Coturnix japonica: one gene and its partners. The protein of the gene in region 1 purifies or fractionates together with the protein of each later gene. This does not show direct contact. Links are inferred from orthologs where the notes say so. Each region holds a gene or a part of one and is shown on either strand. Other genes may lie near its edges.

Region 1 (4,298 bases):
ATGGCCCGCACACTGCGCTCACTGTTCCTCGGCACACTGTGGTTTATACTCAGAGGAGCTCACATGGCCTTCATACTCTTACAGCCACCCGCTGCTACTCTGAAGCTAAGGCACCTGCTTTTGGCATCACCTGCACAGTTATCAAAAGGAAGGTTACTGCTCAAACTAGTGGCCTTATACAGTTAGAGCTGACCTGAGCGTGGATTCAGACGAGTTATATTTGGAGTGAGCGGACCCCATTCTGTGGTTTTTACAGCTTGTTTAATGGGCGACAGCATTTCAATTAGAAAACGACAATAAATAAAAGCACCAACAAACAAATAGGATGAAACCAACCTGCCAGGCTGGGGCAGCTCAGCATGGTGTGTTTTCTTCCAGGGGCCTTTCTGCTGCAAGGGGCGGGAGACATGAGTGCCTGTTTTTACCCGATCCCACAGATTTATTCCAAACCTGGCCTGCAATTGCATGAGTGATAGTAACAGTAACAATAACAATAATGTTTATATTTGAAAAGCACCTTACCAACCAACTGCAGTGCTCTGCTGTTCCTTCACTAACTCCCCTTTTCCCTTATTCTTCTTCTCCCCCCTCCAGTCATGCTCCTTTTCAGTGCTCGGTGGTGTACGCGTGTGTGCTCACTGTTCTTGTATTCAATAAAAGTGAAATAAATGTGTTTGAGGCTAAACCAGCTCTGCGGCCTTTTCAGACTCCTTCCCACCAAAGAGGATGCGCAGATGGGGACAGGGGCTCCATGCAGGGGCTGCATAGCGGGCTGTCCCCCATAGGTATTGTACGTGGTGGTTGGTGGTGATGCTGCATGGCTGTCCTGCCGTGGGCTGTAGGGTCACCCTTTGGGGTTGGAGGTTGCCATTTAGTGTCAGCGTTAAGCGGGTCACCATTGTTGGTTAGGGTTGGGTATTAAGTGTTACCTTTTGGGATATGTTTGAGGGCTACAGCTTAGGGTTAGTATTAAGGGCTAAGGGTTACCCTTTTGGGAGATGGGTTGAGTTACCCTTTTTGGTTAGAATTGAGGAGTACGGGTTAATATTTTGGGCTATGGATACGGTTACCCTTTTGTGTTAGCGTTAAGCATTCAGGTTTCTCCTTTTGTGTTAGGATGAAGGCTCACTCATTTGGGGTTACAGTGAACGGCTTGGGGTTACCAGTTTGGGCTACCAGTTACCCTTTTGTGTTAAGGCTAAGTATATGGGCTATCGTTAAAGGTTACACTTTTGGTTCATGGCTAAGGTCCCCCTTTGGGTTGCGGTTGAGGGTTACTCTTTCGTGTTACTGTTAATCGTGAAGGATTACCCGTTGGTTAATGGGGGCGGAGGGCGACCGCTTCTGTGTGGAGACCGGACGGAAGCAGAGGTTCGGCTGTCGGGGCGTCACGTCGAGCGGCCGCAGCGCAGCGGGGCTCCCCGGCCTCCGGGACCGCGCGGAGGCGGAACGAGTTGCGGCCCGGAACGTTCGTGCGCGGCGCATGGGGCGGCCCGGGCGCAGAGCGGAGGAAGGACCGCGCGTTTCCGGCCCTGTCCGCCCGCCGCGATGATGGCGGGGCTGCGGGCCGACCCGGAGCTGGCCAAGCGGCTCTTCTTCGAGGGTGCCGCCGTGATCGTCCTGGGCGTCCCCGAGGGCACCGAGTTCGGCATCGACTACAGCAGCTGGACCGTGGGGCCCCGCTTCCGCGGCGTCAAGATGGTTCCGCCCGGGGTGCACTTCGTGCACTGCAGCGCGGCCCGGTCCGCCGGCGGCACTGAGACGGGACCGCGGGCCGGGCTGTTCCTCTGCCTGCGGCCCCGGCAGGTGCGCGCCCTGCGCTGGGAGCCGGGCAGCGAGGAGCTGCGGGACGCGCCGGGAGAGGAGGAGGCGCTCGGGAGGGACCTGCGGGACATGGACGCGTTCCTCGGGCCGTACCCGTACGACACCGTGAAGAAGTGGATCGCCCTCAGCAGCTTCGTGGGCGAGGCGGCGGTGGAGCGGCTGCGGCCGGAGAGCGGGCGGATCTGCGCCTTCTCCGAGGTGCTGCCGGTGCGGGAGGGGCGGCTCGGCCGGGACCGCGCGGGGCAGAAGCTGCCGCCGTACGACGCGGGGTGCGGGAGTTACGCCGAGGGCGTGGCCAGGCTGCCCGAGATGCGGCCCAGAGCCGGAACCGAGATCCGCTTCACCGAGCTGCCGCGGCGGACGTACCCCGAGGGAGCCAGCCCGGAGGAGATCACCAGGCACTGCATGGACCTCAGCTACGCGCTGGAAAACGTCATCGCGCGGCGCTACGCCGGGCGGCCGCAGGACCTGCTCGGTGAGTGCGCGGCGGGGACAGCCCCGGGCGGAGCTCCGGCCGTGGCCGTGCCGGGGGGCGGGTGCTGAATGTGGAGGGGCCGGGAGCCCGGCTGGGCTGAGTTGTGAGCGTTTGTTTTTCACGTGGTCTGTCGTGTTACACGAGTCATTCGTTATCAGAATTCCTGCGGGCGATTGGAGGGGAGGCGAAGGTGATCGCATCGGGTGCAGGTAACAATCTTCAGAGCCACCGGTTCTGGCTGGTGAGAAGCGCCTGGCGAGGCTGAGTCCTGGCTCTGAAAAAGAGACAAACACTCGTTGCTCACAACCTCCGTTGTTCTCATCCCTGCGTCTGGGGGCAGCGCCTGCAAGCCGTGGTACAGGAGGAGGTGAACGCCTGCAGGGCGCCGGCAGTGGCTGTGTGCAGGTCTGTGCACCTGTGAGTGTTGCAGGTGCTCCTGTAGCTCCTCACTCAGTGCCAGCAGCACCGCCCTGCAGAGCTGGCAGCCACAATTAGGAGCCCTGCCCGGTTACACTGTGCTTTCTCTCCAGATGGGAGAAGAGCAGAGCATTAGGAAATAATCGGTGTTGGCAGTATTGATCGCCATTTGCAGAGTCACTTAGAGGGCTGAAGGTTGTTTATATGCCCAAGCTAAACCTACAGTTTATGCAGTCATCTGCAGAGCTTTTTAGAGGATGTGTGCCTTGGTTATACCTCGGTTTACCTGTTTTGTTTTGTTTTCTGAATACCTGCAGCTGAGTTGCAGTTTGCTTTTATCTGCTTCCTGATTGGGAATGTATACGATGCATTTGAGCACTGGAAAAGACTGTTAAACATCCTGTGCCGTTCTGAAGCTGCCATTGCAAAGTATCAGGACCTTTATGCCAATCTCATCTTTGTCCTGTACCACCAGTTGAATGAAATCCCGTCTGATTTCTTTGTGGACATCGTCTCCCAGGACAACTTTCTGACCAGCACCTTGCAGGTACGGCTGTGCGTTCTCTTGATCCATGGGAGTCAGAATGCAGGGCATGCAGGGCATTGAAACAGATACAGAGAGAAGCTTCAAGAGGAAGTAAGCTGCTGTTGAGTCTGCCAGAGATAGGGAGCCTGTGTCCTCCGTGAGGGCACACTGACATTTCCTTTTACTTTTTCCTGGCGTTGCTCACACAGAAATGACCTCTCTTGTCATCTATGAGCTTGATCTACCAATGCACATCGAGCATTTATTGCCTTCAGCAGATCAAGCATTTAAAGCACCGTGGACTGGAGTTGGTCCGCACGCACGTGCCAGCAAAGTGAGGTATTGAGGGGAGAGGCTGTTGACAGCTGCAGCACAGAGTGAGGCCTGAGTCTTCTCTATTGTGTTTTCCTTGAAGATAGCACTGACCGTGATCTGGTCCATTGGTGCAGGTTTGGAGTTCTGGAGTGGGACAACTGACGTGACTGGGTGGAACCAGCATGTTTGTTTTAAAAGTGATCTGGGCTTTCAGCTGTGTGAAGCTGAACATCTCCGAGAGGGGCTGAGCGAGTGCAAAGTGGTGTCTGTTTGTTGATCAGTTTTTTTCCCCTCCAAATACCATTCGTTTAAAAACACGTGGCTTGGTGTAAAAGAGTGGTGGTGGTTTCTGATCAGCTTGGATGGTGTGCTCAGCCTGCAGGGAAGTTGCAGCTAAATCTTACTGAGCTGAAGGTATGGATAACATATAAGAAGCCTTTCTGCTCCTGCCTGCTTTATGCAAACGTGAAGGTTTCCTGAAATCAGGTTGTTGTTTGTATGGGATTTATGGTCAGTCCAAACAGCAGAAATACACTGCTGGTGCTGAGACAGGCAAGGGCAAACCTGTAAGTCACTCCCAGTCACTGCAACTGCTGATAGATCAGCAATACTGGAATAGGCTCCCCAGGGAGGTGGATGAATCTCCATCCCTGGATGTGTTTAAGAGCCATTTGGATGTGGTGCTCAGGGATATGATTTAGCAGAGGGTTGTTAGAGTTAGGGTACTGGTTAGGCTGCAGT
Region 2 (4,356 bases), about 8.3 Mb from region 1:
GGACAGAGATGCCTTTGTGTGGGTCTGTGCAGGGCTGCCCAGTTCCTGTGGGATCTTAAATGCGCTCCCATTTAAGTGATGATTTTCCACTTTGGAGCCTTTGTGAGCCATTACCACGCGTATCCATGCAGACGTGCACAGCATTCCCTGCAGATGCCAGCTTGTAAGAGTGCAGAAATCAGACTTGGAAAGCCTGGACCTCAGCAAAAAGAGCCGTGGGGATGTCGGGGATGGAAGGGAGATGCACTGCCCTTATCAGCATCACTCCTGTTGTGTTGTGGTTCCTGTCCCAGGTGGGTTAGTGCACAGTGCCAACGTCCAGACCTGGGTGTGGGCTGCTTTGGTGCTGGGAGGAACCCTTACATTCCCAAATCACAGAATCAGAGTAATTAAAGATCATCAAGATCCCCAAGTCCAACCCCAACCCACCCCGCCATGCCCACTGACTGTCCCTTGGTGCCACATCTACCCTGAAAAGAGCAGGATCCCAGTGGGTGAAGACATTTCAGGGCTGGATGCTGCACTGCTCTGCTCCATCATCACTGGGAATCCCGTGCAGAGCCCCCAGTGCTCCCAGTTTGTGGTCAGGTATGGCTCTAAACCTCAGGCTCCATCATCTCCCGCTGCTCCTGCACACAGGAAACACCAGGAGCGCACACGAAGACGATTAAAAATCATTTAGGATTGATTTTACTGAGCCTACCAGTGAGTTTTCTCCTTGCTTGGAGCCGTGCCTGTGCTGCGGGCTCCAGCCAGATGTATGAGCAGAGAACATGGGGAGCTCCCAGCCACCCTCAGCCCTGTGCTCACCCTGTGCTGCCCACTATGTTTGCTAGGAAATAACCCCCAAAGTGAAACTCCTGCAGCTCTCAGAGCAGAGAGCAAAAGACCCACCCCAGCCTTGGGCTTGTATGAGCCTGGCCATAAAGACTGTGAGATCTGGGGAACAGCAGATGGGCCAGGGCCAAACCCAGCCCCAAAGCTGGGAAACGCTACAGCTCTGCTGGCACCCAACGGCTTGGCAAAAAGGGAGGTGTTTTCATTTCAGCTCCAGCCAAACCCAAAAATAGATGGGCACTAAGTGGCTGGGGGTTGGGTTTGTCATTGTGCAGAATGGGGTTATTTGTCTTCACTGCAGCAGCTGTGTCGGAGCACAAGGAGCCCAGCAGGGATGGATGACCCTAAAAGCCCTTTGCAGCTCCCGTGCCCTCCCTCCCCATGCATTTCAAGTGTATTTAGATACACAAAGTGCTTCTGGGGCTGTTGTATATGAGCATCCATCCCATGGTAGGCGATGCACAGTCCCAATTAGGAGCAAAGGGGTGGAGGAACAACCCCCCCCCCCCCCCCATTGCTCAGTGCAGGGATGGCTCCATTCTGTTCTATGGGCCCCTCGGGACCTCCCAGCACTAGGGGGCGCTCTGCTTCCCGCGACACAACATGAGCGGAAGTGCCGCTCTGCCCGCTGGTTAACCACCCTCACTTCCTCCATCACTTCCGCCGTCTTCTCCTCCGCCGTCTCCGTCCGTACCGAGCAGCCGTCGCCATGAACAAGAAGAAGAAGCCGTTCCTGGGCATGCCCGCTCCCCTGGGCTACGTACCGGGGTTGGGCCGCGGGTGAGTCCACCGTCAGGCCCCCAGTGTCCCCTCGGGCCGCGGCCTGGGCACCCCCCGTCCCAGGCCCGGTCCCAGGCCCGGTCCCAGGCCCTGCCCGCTTCCAAAGCAGCGAGCATCCAAAGCAGGGCCCCATCTGTTGTACCGTGTCCAGGTGTGGAGCCCTCAGTACAAAAAAGACATGGAGGTTTTGTTAAGGGTCCAGAGGAGGGACAGGAAGATGATCAGGGGGCTGGAGCAGCTCCCCTATGAGGACAGGCTGAGGGAGTTGGGTTTGTTCAGCCTGGAGAAGAGAAGGTTGCGGGGTGACCTCATTGCAGCCTTTCAATACCTGAAGGGAACTTACTGCCAGGAGGGGAGGAAACTCTTGGAAAGGGATGATAATAGCAGGACACGGGGAAATGGTTTTAAGTTAAAAGAGGGAAGATTTAGGTTGGATGTTAGGGGGAAGTTCTTCACTAGGAGAGTGGTTAGGGCCTGGAACAGGCTGCCCAGGGAGGTTGTGGATGCCCCGTCCTTGGAGGTGTTCAAGGCCAGGTTGGACGGGGCCATGGGCAACCTGATCTAGTAAATGTGTATGTTTGGTGGCCCTGCCAGGCAGGGGGGTTGGAACTACATGATCCTTGAGGTCCCTTCCAACCCGGATCATCCTGTGATGTTCTTATGTTCTTATTGCCTGGCTTTAAGCAATGGTTCTTGTTGGCTGCCTCTGGTTTCACTGTGCTAAAGAGCCGTCCCTGCTTTATTAACACAGCGCCACAGGATTCACCACCCGCTCTGATATTGGCCCTGCACGCGATGCCAACGACCCCGTGGATGATCGCCATGCTCCACCAGGGAAAAGGACGGTGGGGGATCAGATGAAGAAGAATCAAACGGCTGATGATGATGACGAGGATCTGAATGACACCAATTACGATGAGGTGATGTGATAACACACCTAGAGATGCTTATCCCTAAGCAGAAGTGAAATCCCTTTGCTCCCAGTTCTCCTGCAGTTCTCTCACTCATCTCTCTGTATGAGCTGGGGATTCAAGGCCAGGATTTCCTCTGCTTCAATTGCAAGTCCATTATACTTAATGCCATATATTTACCCTTTCTTATTCTCCTTTGGACTCCATATAGTTGTTTCATTATCTATATGGAGCACTAGGAATCTATATGGAGCACTAAGAGTCTCAGGAAGAGGTCCATAAATAAAACGTTATTTTATGGGATTTTGTTTTATGGGATGTGCTTTTTTGTTCTCTTTCACAAACGAAATCTAAGCTCTTGTGCTTACATACATATTTGATATGTATTTGATACATATTCATGTGGCCTGTGCAGTCTCCTGTGTCCCGCTTTGGTTATTTAAATGTTGTGTTGTTATTATTATTGTTTGCTTTCAGTAGTTCTTAGAGGGGAAATAAAGTTATTGATGTATAGAAAACGTGCAAGGATTTTGCTTATTGCTTAATAGATGCAATATGGAAATAGAAACACTTTTACTTTAGAAATGTTGAGGGACAGTAAACAAGTAGGGATGGTAGAAGAAAGCTGCTTTCATTTAAGGGGTGTGTTAATGTGATGCAGTGCTGTGTTGCCTGCTCACCCATGTTCATTGTCCTGGCTGATAGCTGGCTGCTCTCAGTACATAACAGGAGCTTTAAACTGAGAATGCTGCTTTTCCTTTCCCTTTTCTCCAATTCTTAGTTCAATGGATATGCTGGCAGCCTGTTCTCGAGCGGTCCCTATGAAAAAGATGATGAGGAAGCAGATGCTATTTATGCTGCTCTGGATAAAAGGATGGATGAACGGAGGAAAGAAAGAAGGTAGGATGAATTAGAGCACTGGTATGGAACGCTTCCTAGTTCATCTGTGTTTCAAAGATTTCTTCTGCCTCCTCCATTTTCCATTGTAAATGTTATCTGTGTCTACTAGCTGAAGTGTTGAGAGGTTTCATTTGTTTCAGTGCTGCCTTTTAGACACCAGGGCAATAAATCTTAAGGTTGGTGGGTACTTTGCCCAACTTACTGCGAGAATTGATTTGGTTGAATTGCTTCACTGATATTTATTAAGTTGGTTTTGGGAGATGCTGTGGGGATGGTTTTGATACATCACATATTGCACAACACACTGGAAATCATTAGAAAAGTTGTGTGATGTGGGTGTCTTGTAAACCAGTGTTAATTAATTTAATTAAAATTAATTATACTCCTGGCCTGCAGCTAAGAGTAAATCCTGAAGTTTCCTTGGTTAGGAATGTTTGTTTTTATGCTACACTGTTGTCTTATGTCATGAGAGGCCTCTGTCACAGTTTGTAACCTGTGCTTGGTCTAAGATCTAAGCTTATGCTTTACTTCTGATGGAATACATCTTTCTGTGATGCTTAATGGCTCGTTACTCTGAGCATAACTTCAGTTCTCCTTTTTCTAAGGGAACAACGAGAAAAAGAGGAGATAGAAAAATACCGTATGGAACGACCCAAAATCCAGCAACAGTTCTCAGACTTGAAAGTAAGGAAAAATCTTGCCTTCAGTGTATCTGTGTGAGTTATGGGAGGTGACTGTTCAGCATTAATTTGCTCACATTCTGTTCAAGTACTTTGTTATTCTCTAGATTAGAATTACTTTCCTGAGAAAGCAGAAGGATCTTTATTGAGAGCTGCATTCAGAGTTACTCACTGTTGTGGGGGGGGAGGATTGTGAGATACTTTTTGGGGTGAGTGGGAATATGTTCTGTGGTAATACAGCTCTTCCT
Region 3 (4,278 bases), on another chromosome or scaffold:
AGGTTGGCAGTAACTTTGTCATTGGGAAGAGTCAGGTTGATACCTGTCTTCATTAAATATATTCCCTCCACATGAGTTGATTTTTTCATTGCTCACTTAGCAGGATGAAAACTCCAATGTGAGTACACAGCACTGGAATAAGTCAAACCTGCTTGCATGTGAGCCAGAGCCAAAAGAAAGCATAAAGTAAAACAGGTAAGCAAAAACTGATGTAGGAGAAAGGCAGTGTTAAGCACCAAATCCTGGAAACATCCCACTGGGTTTCAAGGATATTTATAGGCTTTCCTTCTTGTAAATGGGAGAGGTCAGGTGATTATTTCCCCCAGCCTTTACTCATTCTGGCTCGGTGCAACTGCAGTCTTCCAGCAGAGGAGGATGTGCTGTGCAACGCTGTGCTTGAGATTTTTACCTACAGGAAAATGCTCCTTTCCTTCCCTACTTCCCCTCATGAACTCTGGCATCAAGCTGAGCATGGCCATACCAGACTCATGTCCACAGTTGTTCTGGGCGCATGAGATGGAGAAAATACATTGGATCGCTGTGCTTGGCCTTCAGTATCACAGTGGCTGCCGGGGAATTGCCTGCCAGTTTCCTACAGCCATGAAGAGAAGGACAGGCAGCCTCTCCCAGGCTCCAAGTGCAGAAGCCTTCAGTGCATAGGCTGGGGCTGGAGCCTGCCAATTGAGCAGCGGAAACAGTCACCGGATAGGGGCCAACAGCAGATTTATGTGCAAGAAAGGAACACAAGGCTCCCAGCAGCAGGGCTGAACGGAGACGCACTGCTCCCTGCAGAGGCACAGGGCAATCTCTGCACAAGAGCTAAGCCTGCCCCAGGCATAGTGTACTTGTTTGGAAGATGTCCTGTGATGGCACACAGAGCCATGTCGAGTCCCGCACCCCTCTTCAAGCCATCTTAGTTCACGCTGGCTAGGGCTAGGCTTTACCATCTGTTCTTCTTTAGGATCTGACTCATTATTTTTATTTCAGCTGTCACCAAGCAATAGCAAAAATCCCAACACAACAGCACATTCACCATCGTGAATTGCCTTGTCTGCAGTCAGCAAAGAACAGCTCATCCCCAGTTCTCTGCAGTGTGTGAGACTCACCTTCTGCACAGCGACAGGAAAGGAGTAAAAGGATACAGACAGCTGATGTAGTAACCTTAGCCATCAGCTGCATCCTGACAAAGAAAAGCCCAACCCCAGATCCATGGCTTATGCTGCTTGCCTCCACCCTTACAAAAATAGGGCATGACCACGCTTAATGCACATCCTTTCCCTGCCTGCTGCTGGTATGCCCAGACAGCATTATGCAGCAGGCTCAGCCCTCAGCCACTGTCTGTGTCTCCCCTGCCCATTGCCTGTCTTTGCCTGTGACTCCTGTTTCTGCTCACACGCCAAAGGACCCTGCTTTCCTCTCTCTTCCCTCCAGACAGGAATCCATCTGCCTGTGTCTCCGCTGTACATGTATATATGTTTAAGGAAAGGCTTACCAAATGGGGAAACACCTCTAGAGCCTCTGCTTTAGAACTTAAAGCTTTTAGCTGAAGAAGGGGGAAAAGAACCAGATGGCCTCAGCCAACACCAATAAAACATGTTCCGACAGAATTCCACATCTTGACACATGAACAAAAAAATGTTCTTTTGGGACAGAGGATGGAAACTTGCTTTTGGCCGGACACTTGTCTCACACCCCAGTGACTGAAGGCTTTCTGGTTATAAAGTACATGCAAATAAAAACTCCACGCTTCCTCTGAACCGCTCGCTGCTGCCAAGCCCAAGAGATGAGGAAAAAACCAACGCCTGACTTGTTTTTTCCACGCGGTTTGGATGAGGAGGGGCCACCCCCGACAGCTTCACAGTCTGCAAAATGGAGGGCGAGCTCCTGGGAGCTGTAGTCCGGCCGCGTCGCTCTCAAAATGGCCCCCAACGGGGAAAGCGCAGACAACTACAACTCTCAGGATGCAAAGCGAGGTGACGCTAACGGGAAGCAGGGTTGTACTTCTGCTTCCTGCACTTCCCCACCTCCACCTTCCTCCGGGCTTGCGCGGCTTTGGGGTATGGGGCGTTTATTCGGTGCTGGGTGTGAGCGGGGAGGGGGGGGGATCCCGGTCCGGGGAGCTGGGTCCTAGGTTGGCAAGGAATGCGGTATATGGGCCCATGGTGCAGGGTGCGGCGGTGGGTTGTGTCGTAGTGCTGTCTGTGCGATGAGAATGGGGTCGAGATTTGGGGTGACGGAGCTCTGTGTTTGCCTCCCAGCTGCAGGAGGGTGAGCAGAGCCAGCAGAGCAAGGCCAGGATGGGAGAGGCTGATGGAGAACGTGGCAGCCAGAGAGACACGGGCCTGTGTGTGCTGTGCAGTGCCCACGTTGCTGTAATGAACGTGTGAGTTTGTCTGGTGTGTTGTCAGCATCTGCGTGTTTGGTATTAACACTGTTAAATTATTCTTCCAGTAGCAACGTTTTCCCTTTCTGTACAAATGCTCTTAGCAAAGAGGTGCCCTCATTCATAGCCTGAAACATCTGTTTTGCTCAGCCCTGCTTTTTGGTGTTTCTTTTGAGTTGCACTCGTTTCTTTCATGTGTTATAAAACTAAAGAGAAAGGTGCAGGATCTTCAAATGATTATTTTGCATTTGGGGGTTGCACTAGAGGCCACGTTTCAAAAGCAACGGTGTCAAAACACAGCCAGACTACACAGAACACAGCATTCAGGCCATTCAGTTCTTTGCAAGCTTCTCCACATACTAATTCCTCATGCAGATCTGTCCCCAGTGGTGAATACAACCTTTCTTTGCAGGCATCTCTGTGGTGTCCTGGGTCTCTTTCCTATTGGCATGTAGTACCTGCAGTGCATATCTGGTACCTTCTTGGCTGCAGTTAACACAGTACATTTACTAATAGTTTACTGCATGTGTAAATTACAGCTTTGTTTTGTTTTTTTTTAAAGCCTCTCTTCTGTTGTAGAGAATAAGACTTGGCTTTGTGAATGTGGAGACTGAGTAACTGTGGTGGAGCCTGTCCTATTAGGTTTGTGCTGTTCTTTTGCTAGTATTCAGGATTATCTGAAGACTTTTTTATGCAAGCTTGAGCTTGTGTCAGATTTAGAACTCTGCTCTGTAGCTTTGGGTGACTCAGGGAGAAAGAATTATTTTCAAAACTCTTTTTAAAACTACATTTCCAGTATCTTGATGGAAATGTTTGTTTTCTAGGGTGGAAGTGCTGAGATCTTTGGTGGCTTTAACTGACCCTCAGGAGGGGAAGCTGACTCAGTCTCAGGAGAAAGTGAGTGACCAGCACACTTTCCATGTCTGTTTACTGCGGCTTTTCAGAAGAACCTATAATTGTGTAGTTTAACTTAACCTAATAGTAAATGAGAACACTTTCCCTAATTCACGTTTTGGAGAGCTGAACTGAAGTGTATTTTTGCCAAGTCTATTTTTGACTGCCCAACAAGCAGTGGTGTTTCAGCCTGTACTGTACTGGAACTCAGGGTTCAGGTCACTGTGTCTTTTGATTGACCAAATGGGCAGCTCTTGCTGACCATTGCTTGCACCCTCCCCTTGTTTCCAGTGTGCTCACACAAGCATGGCATATGCAATTATTTTTCATAATCTGTCTCAATTCATTTCTCACGCTCACTTATCATGTGATTGCAACTATCTAGTAATAACGTAAAAGCTTAAAGCCAAGGAAGGAGTGCACCTTGTACTTTGTCAGTTTAAAGCTGACACAGAACTGTAGCTCTGAGACATTACAGGCTGTTCTGACACATTCCTTGATCAGCAGCAGGGCCCTTTTTAATACGTAGAATATGATTGGGGACGGATGTGAATTGGCAATGAAGAATTGCAACAGACAAAAGAGATTAGGATTTGTTTTTATGGATTTATATGGTATGGGTAAATGAACGGTGTACTTTGGAGAGTCACTGCTGTTCTTGGAAGAAGATATGTGGAACAGTTATATTCAAAAAACTTATGCTCATCATTTAGCAATTGGTCTTGCTGTTACCTTCAGTGAAATTCAGTGCATCACTATTTATAATTACTTTGCATTCTTGTACTGAATTTTGTGGAAGTCTTTAATATTAATGTGCATCTGTTCCACAGCAATGTACTGTGATATAGCAGTAATCATTATCAGGCCTGTCCCAGAGTGATGGTCATACGTGTGATTTTCATTGCGCAGTTGAATTTTCATGCTCTTTTATATTGTAGGCATTAAAGCTGCTGGACATTTGGAAAACCGTATTTACAGCCATTCCTGGGCCTGCGTTAAGG

Evidence for each region. The genes of interacting proteins can lie anywhere in the genome.
Region 2: the proteins of AAR2 (region 1) and PRPF6 purify together in Homo sapiens (affinity purification with mass spectrometry; 3 studies listed by BioGRID and IntAct, with this or other methods). This does not show direct contact. The link is inferred for Coturnix japonica from reciprocal best matches to the Homo sapiens genes AAR2 and PRPF6.
Region 3: the proteins of AAR2 (region 1) and TSSC4 purify together in Homo sapiens (affinity purification with mass spectrometry; 3 studies listed by BioGRID and IntAct, counting the BioPlex papers as one, with this or other methods). This does not show direct contact. The link is inferred for Coturnix japonica from reciprocal best matches to the Homo sapiens genes AAR2 and TSSC4.

Annotation. Positions count from the first base shown.
Region 1 is NC_029535.1:173,914-178,211, forward strand, and holds the start of AAR2 (protein AAR2 homolog), read left to right. Parts: upstream 1-1,482; 5' UTR 1,483-1,548; coding exon 1,549-2,299; intron 2,300-3,033; coding exon 3,034-3,263; intron 3,264-4,298. UniProt on the Homo sapiens protein: Component of the U5 snRNP complex that is required for spliceosome assembly and for pre-mRNA splicing.
Region 2 is NC_029535.1:8,485,541-8,489,896, reverse strand, and holds the start of PRPF6 (pre-mRNA-processing factor 6), read left to right. Parts: upstream 1-1,468; 5' UTR 1,469-1,546; coding exon 1,547-1,617; intron 1,618-2,368; coding exon 2,369-2,537; intron 2,538-3,309; coding exon 3,310-3,428; intron 3,429-4,033; coding exon 4,034-4,112; intron 4,113-4,356. UniProt on the Homo sapiens protein: Involved in pre-mRNA splicing as component of the U4/U6-U5 tri-snRNP complex, one of the building blocks of the spliceosome.
Region 3 is NC_029520.1:10,938,803-10,943,080, forward strand, and holds the start of TSSC4 (protein TSSC4), read left to right. Parts: upstream 1-1,390; 5' UTR 1,391-2,057; intron 2,058-2,069; exon of another isoform or gene 2,070-2,159; coding exon of another isoform or gene 2,160-2,177; intron 2,178-2,258; coding exon of another isoform or gene 2,259-2,383; intron 2,384-2,403; exon of another isoform or gene 2,404-2,422; intron 2,423-2,945; exon of another isoform or gene 2,946-3,025; intron 3,026-3,207; coding exon of another isoform or gene 3,208-3,280; intron 3,281-4,215; coding exon of another isoform or gene 4,216-4,278. UniProt on the Homo sapiens protein: Protein associated with the U5 snRNP, during its maturation and its post-splicing recycling and which is required for spliceosomal tri-snRNP complex assembly in the nucleus.